2 linked regions of the Lepisosteus oculatus genome follow. The protein of the gene in region 1 binds, or shares a complex with, the protein of each later gene. Links are inferred from orthologs where the notes say so. Each region holds a gene or a part of one and is shown on either strand. Other genes may lie near its edges.

Region 1 (3,918 bases):
TCATTGGACGCGTTATTACGGGCGCCCGCTCCGAGTGGCCAGAAAGTAAAGCGCATCGTCACTGCGAGCGCACGTAGTCGGGTTTCCAAGCGGGGTCGGCGATGGGCCTCGGTGGACCCCAGTCACAGAAAGCTGGCAGTGTTTCTGAGCTCCAACAGTCTGAAGCATATTTGAGGTGCGATTCTACACGATTTAATTCCAGGTAATGTGAAACTGATGAACAAATTGAAATAAGATTGATTCCAGTAGACATGAATATTACTGATGTCCGGGTCATATTTTGCCTAATTCTCAGGTTTTACTTTAACAGTACCCTCACATTCATAAAAATACATCAACTCTTTACCTAAGACGCACCTCCTCAGTGACCTATTTATGCCACAAGAGGACACTTTCATCTCTAAATTGTTACAAGAATTCTGTTTTTTTTTTAATTATAAGAAACTGCATATATAATAACAACTTCTACATTCAGATCAAAACAGTCGCACATGTATTTTGGAATCTGTGCAATAGACTAATGGATGTGGACATGAAAAGTATTTTACACAAAAGTGTGAACTACAATTATCGTTTCAAAGTCTCTAACAGGAAGGAAAATGCTTCATATATATATTGCAAAAAGCTGAATGCTTTATTAAATAAAAATATTTACAGATACAAAAGCAAATGCTGCTAATTGTTGGTTAATTAATTTAATAATTCAGAAGGGGAATAACAGAGCTGTCAGGATATGTTCCAGCAAAACACCAAATTGAACAGAATTTCTATTGTAACGCTTACGGCCGACAAGCACTGTGTGTAAGATCACCGCCCTTCCCTGTGATAGCAGGACCACAGCTACTGGGCTGTGGAGAGATCTCTCTTTAGCTCACAGGGCTAGGTCGCTGCAGAGAGACACGGAAGTCCCGGGTTCGAGCCTCCAGTCGGGATGGGGCCGACCAGATGCGGCAAGGGCGCCCGCCGGAGCCCCCGTTGCGTTACAATATATTCAATAGGATATTCAATAGGAAGATCAATAATAATCAAATGTTTCTAATCATAGAACTGCTAATAAGCTATAATACCACTTCATTATAAACTTAATATTTATGCATTTAATGACATTTAAAAATGCTACAAGGTACCATGCAAGGTATCATATCATGACATCAACACTAACAGCCTATTTTACTACATTATTCCTGTTACAGTCTGGTGCATTGCAGCATAGTTTCTTTGAGGAAAAGGCCGATTCGAATACTAATTTTAATTCGTATTTTTATGTACCCTATAAAACACGTAGCTATATGTAGCTCGTATGCCTTTTTTTTATATCCATGAAAACCAAAGTGCAAGCTGGAATTTATTGCGCTTTATTGTAATTACCGCTGACGAGCGCGTCTCCGAGCACGCGTATTGAAATTAAATTTCCCTCGCTCGCCGACCAATCCGTGACGACAAAGGCCCGCCCCTCCTCCGCCGCGGCCAGAGCGAGGCTGGGCCTGTACCGGCATTCCCACAACCCCCTGCGAGGAAGCCAGAGAAAAGAGTCCGGTAACTGGAGGGGCTGAGAGAAAAGAAACACACGAAAGAGATACGTCGCCCAAATCATAGTAATTACAAATACATATTTTTTTTTCCCCCAACATGGCCGACAACGAGAAACTGGATAATCAGCGGCTGAAGAATTTCAAAAACAAGGGCCGGGATTTGGAGGTATTTGTTTTCTTCTTGACTTTTTCGGTGTGCCTCTCTCTCTCTCTTTTTGGCGAGTCTGTGTGTGTTATTTTGTTTCAGGTTCCGCTGTGACGTCTTTAGTAATTTCCAGGATCTCGAAGTTTGCACCCAGCCCAAGCCAGGCCCCAGCTCCCTGCGGCTTCGACCGAGGCCTAATTCAGCCCCAGCGCTGGGCAGATCGCTCCCTGCCCAGCACGCAAAACTTCGGGGCAGGGATTCAGGGGCTGGGAGGCAGGCCAGGCCGGGGCTCGCTTACTGGGCTCCGCAAACGCCTTTGTTTTTTTTTTATGACTGGAAGAAGCTGGGTATGGTGGTGTGCTGCTCTACCCCCGAAGCTTATTCCGGGGCTGTTGGGAGCTTCTCTGCTAAAGCGAAAGTGTTACTTGGTGCGTCTTTTGTGGAGTTGATTTTTTTTTCCCTTCCTTCTCTCCGCGTGGTTGGAGTTGTTTGGATGTGGCGAAACACGAACAACGATTGATCTAACCCACAAAACTTCCCAAACGTCTGTTTCTAGATCTCTTAAAAAAATAATTCCACGGCGTTCTAGTCTGCAGTCCTTCGTTACCACCCAAGTTAAGAAATATTACGTTCTGGGTAACGTTCTTATTTTTGTTTCCTTTTCTAAAGTCGATATTATATAGCATTGAAAATTGGAAGTCATGTGCTTCTTTTTCCAAAACTTAAAGGAAATCTCTTGAGAACGTGAACTATCTGGTAGATGTTACATAATACTAAGCGGCCCAACACGTCCTAACGTGAGAAAAGAGACGAAGTCTTTCTTTTTTTTCATCTGGTAAAGCAGTTTCCTTGTTGACGCATCAGGCTTTACTTCTGGATCAGACTCCAACATTTGGACTTTTAAATTTTGGTCTTCTGTACTTAATAATGCAAAGGAACATACACAGATCTGTACGGAGGCATGAATATAATGTTCAGACCTTTGTCAGTTTTGGCCAAAACGTCCAATAGTCTGAGCGGACTGTATTTCTACATATATAGGACCATTTAAGATTCTGTGAAGTTCATCATTTCACTTTCCTTAATTGCCACTCAGCCACCCTTTTCATAAAAAAGAAATGAATATAGCTGTGCTGCACCTTTTGTTTTTTTATTTTATAAAGCAATTAAAATGATTGAGGACCATACTCTAAAACATGAGCCATCTAAGCATCTGTATTTGTATTCATTTAGGTTGTTCTACCATTTATTTAAAATTTGACATGCTGTTGCAGGTCTTTATACTTGATTTAAAATGTCTGAGTGTCCCACCCTACATTAATCACCATTAGGATTTCTGAAGATATTTCATGCTTTCAAGCACATCATTTTTCTTCTTTCCTATTAATTCTAGTCTTGGGATAGTGAAATAAAGTGCCCCACCCCTTTTCTGTAAAACATAAACCTGAATCCAGTGCGTTACTGTTAACATCATAGGGATCCACAGTCATGGAGCCGAACTCAAAGTAATAAAATCAGTATCAGTGCTGGCCAGTTGTGAAGTCATACTGAAGGTTTTAGAAATGTCTTGAATGTTACTGTGCTTTTGTGTGCTCAGTGCTGTCCTGTGCCTTGTGGATTAAATTCCAGAGGCGTGTGAGGGATTTCTAAGCTTAAGCCCTGAGTGAACTGCCCCTTCCTGCTACATTACTCACTGCATATGGTATGAAATTGGCTAACTGTGTTACGCTGAAATGCTGTCACATTGCACAGTAAACCATTGTTAAATCCTGGACTCTCTCCAGTGGGCTGTTTTTTTTTAATGAAGAAGGTTTTTTAACCTGAAGAAGGCTCCACGGCCGAAACGTTGTGTTCTCTTTCTTCTTTTTTTCAGCATGGAATAAACCTATTACTTGTTCCTTTGCAGCCTACGCATGCTGACGCAGCTACCCACCTGTTTTTTAATGTTGTCACACTTGATAACCATGTTGTCCTGTACTGTTCTCTGGGTGTGTCACTGAGGTATCACAAGTATTCAAAATGTACAAGGGTGGGAGGTCATTTTAATACTTCATTGCATACTAGAAGCTCCTTTCATCATTTCCAAAAAGTTGTATGTAACTGTTGGAGTGACTACATTTGTCTTAGTAGTCCCTCTGAGAATGTCAGATCTTTCAGATGAGTAGAATATTAAATGTTTTTGTATTTTCCCCCTTATCCAGACAATGAGAAGACAGAGGAATGAGGTGGTTGTGGAACTTC
Region 2 (3,918 bases), on another chromosome or scaffold:
CCAGACGTGGTGTAGGAAAATAAAGATTTAAATTGTATTCCAAGAAACTGAAGTGAAAAAAAAAGCTGTGCTGCTATTTATGAAATTCACATCAGTGTTTCTTTGGTTATTGTTGGCCAACAGTATGTTTTACCTCTGTGGGTGTCGGTTCTTTAGGCCAAGGGTTCCCAATCCTGGTCCTGGTGACCCACATGAAAAATCAGGAAAGTGTTCATCCGGGAACAGTGTTGCTAATTGATTTAACATCTGTGTATCAAAGCAAAAGCTGGCCTGGAGGGGACAGTGGGGAAGCATGCTGAAGTAAATCTGCTTTTAAAGGAGGGAAGGTGACCTGGTGGGTAAATAGTCCTCTTATTTGTCAGGTTATGATGAACTAAAGGTAGTCACTCCTTCAGAGTTACCCAGCAGAAAGTACAGGCCAAGTTTATGAAACCAGTTTTTTTGCTTCTCATTTACTACTCTTTTGTTTCCCATGGCCAGTGCTCAGCTCTAGATCACTAAGAGCCCCAGACTCATCTTAAAGAGGACTAGAAGCTGTACTTGAAAAACTTCATTTGCAGCCTTCTCGTGTTGCTGGTGTGGCATTGAAGGGAATTCTGGCCTGCGCAGAAAAGAAGCTAGACCTCTGCATATGGCTAGTGAAATCCAAGCAATAAGTCACGCGTTTTAGTATGTAGAAATGTCCAAGTTGTTGACTATAAATAGGTCCAAGTGGAAATTCTAGCAGCTGTGTTTCTGTTGGATGTCTCTCTCACATCTCTGCAGCCATCTGGTAGAGGGTCTTTCGTTCCTTATGTGTCCCCAAGCCACTTTGACAGGTAGTGTTTAAGTAAAGCAAGACTGTTATTTGCTGCATGTTATTTGGGGCACAAGAGGCCGAGTTAAGTTTCATGACCTTTTGCCAGTAACAGTCTGACGACTGATTTATTAGTGTTTTCGTTTTAAAGCATTATTTACTGGGATGGATTTCTTAACCATTGAAGCAAGCTGTTGGAGCTGTGTTTTCTGCCTGGTATAAACTGTGGATTTCAGAAGCACAAATAAGAGGCATTCATTTTACATGACAATTGGACAAGTTGATGGGCAGTTCTGATAGAGCCAGTGATGAGTTCATTTTCATTGGGGAGCTTCAGTTTCAAAGCTCTGAATGTCTGGATGTTGATAGCGTGATGGTGACATTTGAAAGGGACTCTTCAAGAATTAAGCTTAGAGGGTGCTGATGTTCGCAAAAGTCAAAATGCTAGTACTACTAATCAAAGAATATTAGTATTGTCTTTCAATTACGTAGACTGGATGCATCACAGAAGTGTTTTAATGTAGTTTTGCCAGTGCGCTGAAGTTCTTTGGAGCCTGCATCAGAGTCTGTCCATAAACCACAAGTTTTTTTTTTGTTTGTTTTATAGAGAAACCTGCCATAGCTCCACCTGTCTTTGTGTTCCAGAAAGATAAAGCACAGAAGGTAAGCCAGCCAGTTTCAGAGCTGATTTATTTCACTTCTGGGAGCTGGGGGGCGGTGTTGAGTGGATGAGAAACAAAGTAAAGGTTAAGGGATCTGAAATCCGTTTAATAACTGAACCATTTTGTAGTGCCATATTGATCATGGTAAGAGTTTGGAGTTGAATGCCATTTGACAGGAGGCGAGAACAATAAACATGTAATTTGTTGACTTATTTTTATTTCAGAGATCAGCTGATGGATCCAGTGCAGAAGATGGTGAAGGTGACTTAAAAACGGAAATTTTTGTTTTGGTGAAAAACTAGACATGCTGTATCACTTCATGAATTTATTGTGGTTTCCTGGACACTTAGAACAACTTGTACTTAAATGTTTCAGATTCAGACAAAGACGATGGAGCTTATTGTCCCCCTGTGAAGCGCGAGAGAACATCGTCTTTAACACAGTTTCCACCCTCACATTCTGGTAACTATCCCTGCTTCTTGTGAGCAAGGTAGATGTGTATGTAAACGTGATGTGAGTTCTGTTGAATTGGCTTGTATGAGACACTAAGAGCTTATTGGGGTTTTAGCATTTTGTGTATTCTGCTTGAGGTTCTATCCTTGTTAACCTTATGCCTTGAATGTGAAGGCAAACAGCTATTGTATAAATAGCAGATTTTCTAAGCACACATGGAATACATAAGCATACATAACATAAAGATGTTCAGTCTCCAAAATTATAGGAAAGGTGCATAATTGTGACCATGAAGAATCAAAAACCCAAATTATCATTTACATTTCTATATGTGGCTCATGTCTCATGTATATGTGGGCATCCCTGCCCTCCTAGGATGTGATCTAGAGATGGTTGCATCCAAACATGGCATTGACAGCTGCATAATTACTGTCTTCACTGAAGCACTTGACACTCATTCATCATCTCCAAAGGCACTGGTATATAGAACTATACAAATCTGTGGAATGGTGGTTTACACCCGGATGGGGCATTTTTTCCAAATGTTCAATTGCTTCCTAGAGAATGAGTATTTTAGTTATTTCAGACTCTGATTTGTTAAAATAAGGTATATAATTTGTAAATGCTTGCTAGGTACTGACCTGTGTGGACCCTGTAAGTAGTCTTAGAAATATTTCTTAAGCCAGAACTGTTGTTGTTTTGTTTGTGATTTGATACATTCCAAAGATCATTCGCATAATCATCGTTCACAAGGAAGTACTTTTTTCCATTGCCTTCATCCCATCATTTATTCCTGATATTTGTTTTTTTCTTGGCCTTGTTTGTTCTCTCGTGTAATATGTTGCTGATTTTTCTTTGTAGTATCCAAAAACAATGTGTTTATGCCCTCAAGTTTCTGTCAGTCCCCAACTGGAAATTCAGACTCTGAGCCTGGTGAGTTCACTGAACTGTTCTCTCTGTGGGTCTGATTTGTAAGATGGCATTGAACTCTGGAAAGGTTAAGCATAGGCTTTTAGCCAATATATTTGTTTTTTTTGTATTTTATGTTGAACCATTTCATTGTACAACCTGTTTTTTTTCTCCGTTTAGAGAATGGTGTCAGGTTTTAGAATCATTAGTCAAATTTTTCCAAAATATTTTTTTTTAACCTATAACATTTGGCAGTTTATTCATGCAGAACTAAGTTTAATCTTCATTGCTGTGCTGTGACAAGTCAGCCAGGTCAGTCAGGTCAAGTAACGAGTCTAAGCTCTATTTCTTTTTAGAGTTATAGCGTTAGTTATTTCTCTGGTGTGTTTCTTTACTTTTTTAGTCTTGGCTTTTTACCTGCTGTTTGGTCTTATTGTAATATTTGAATGATTTGTACTTCATTTCCCACTTAACTAAAATTAAAACCTTTCTTCTGGTCAGGCTGCTTTATCAGACTTGGGCCAGATTAGTTGCAAAACTTTTTGGCAAAACAAACTGGGTCTTCTACATTGTTTTGCAGTTACAATTTATATATGCAGAAAACAAGACTCTTGTAAATAAGGACTCAGCTCCCCAGGATAAAGATTAATTACTCTGGCTCATTTTTCCTGATTCCCTGATCATTAACTTGCAAGTGTTTATCTGTTTGCAGAGGAGAAGACTGTTGGATTTCGTCTGAAACCGCCCACCCTGATCCATGGACAGGCCCCTAGTGCAGGTGGGTATTCATTGCTGCTATGTCCACGAGTGGATTTAGCAGCTGCTAGCAGCCTTTTCCGCTGTGTGTGTGTTGTTTTTTGCCTGGGTTATTGTAAGTCCGTGGTTGCATGATGGATTTGCAGCAAATGCAGGAAAAAAGGAAATAATCTCATGCATATTCATGAGAAAAGTCTTAAAACTAGATTTTCCAGTCTTTAGACTAGATGTGAGAGCAAATTAATAAAATTCAAGCTAATGTTAGCGTATTTTCCTTGTATTACGACTTTAATTATTTGATTGGGCAGAATGCTTTTTATGGGAACTTTCCTCAAAAAGAGT

Evidence for each region.
Region 2: the proteins of kpna4 (region 1) and ran-binding protein 3 are in contact, whole or in part, in a crystal structure (PDB 5XZX), measured with the Homo sapiens proteins. The link is inferred for Lepisosteus oculatus from reciprocal best matches to the Homo sapiens genes KPNA4 and RANBP3. Residues at the interface, in NP_002259.1 of Homo sapiens: Arg96, Leu99, Ser100, Asp102, Arg103, Pro105, Phe133, Trp137, Thr140, Asn141, Ala143, Ser144, Gly145, Thr146, Ser147, Thr150, Glu175, Gln176, Trp179, Gly182, Asn183, Gly186, Asp187, Asn219, Trp222, Val225, Asn226, Arg229, Asp261, Trp264; in NP_015561.1 of Homo sapiens: Asn114, Tyr115, Cys116, Pro117, Pro118, Val119, Lys120, Arg121, Glu122, Arg123, Thr124, Ser125, Leu127.

What each region holds. Positions count from the first base shown.
Region 1 is NC_090708.1:5,992,001-5,995,918, forward strand, and holds the start of kpna4 (importin subunit alpha-3), read left to right. Parts: upstream 1-1,489; 5' UTR 1,490-1,629; coding exon 1,630-1,698; intron 1,699-3,878; coding exon 3,879-3,918. UniProt on the Homo sapiens protein: Functions in nuclear protein import as an adapter protein for nuclear receptor KPNB1. Binds specifically and directly to substrates containing either a simple or bipartite NLS motif.
Region 2 is NC_090724.1:4,953,680-4,957,597, reverse strand, and holds the start of ran-binding protein 3, read left to right. Parts: upstream 1-778; 5' UTR 779-793; coding exon 794-818; intron 819-1,403; coding exon 1,404-1,459; intron 1,460-1,682; coding exon 1,683-1,719; intron 1,720-1,833; coding exon 1,834-1,920; intron 1,921-2,772; coding exon 2,773-2,844; intron 2,845-3,532; coding exon 3,533-3,598; intron 3,599-3,918. UniProt on the Homo sapiens protein: Acts as a cofactor for XPO1/CRM1-mediated nuclear export, perhaps as export complex scaffolding protein. Bound to XPO1/CRM1, stabilizes the XPO1/CRM1-cargo interaction. In the absence of Ran-bound GTP prevents binding of XPO1/CRM1 to the nuclear pore complex.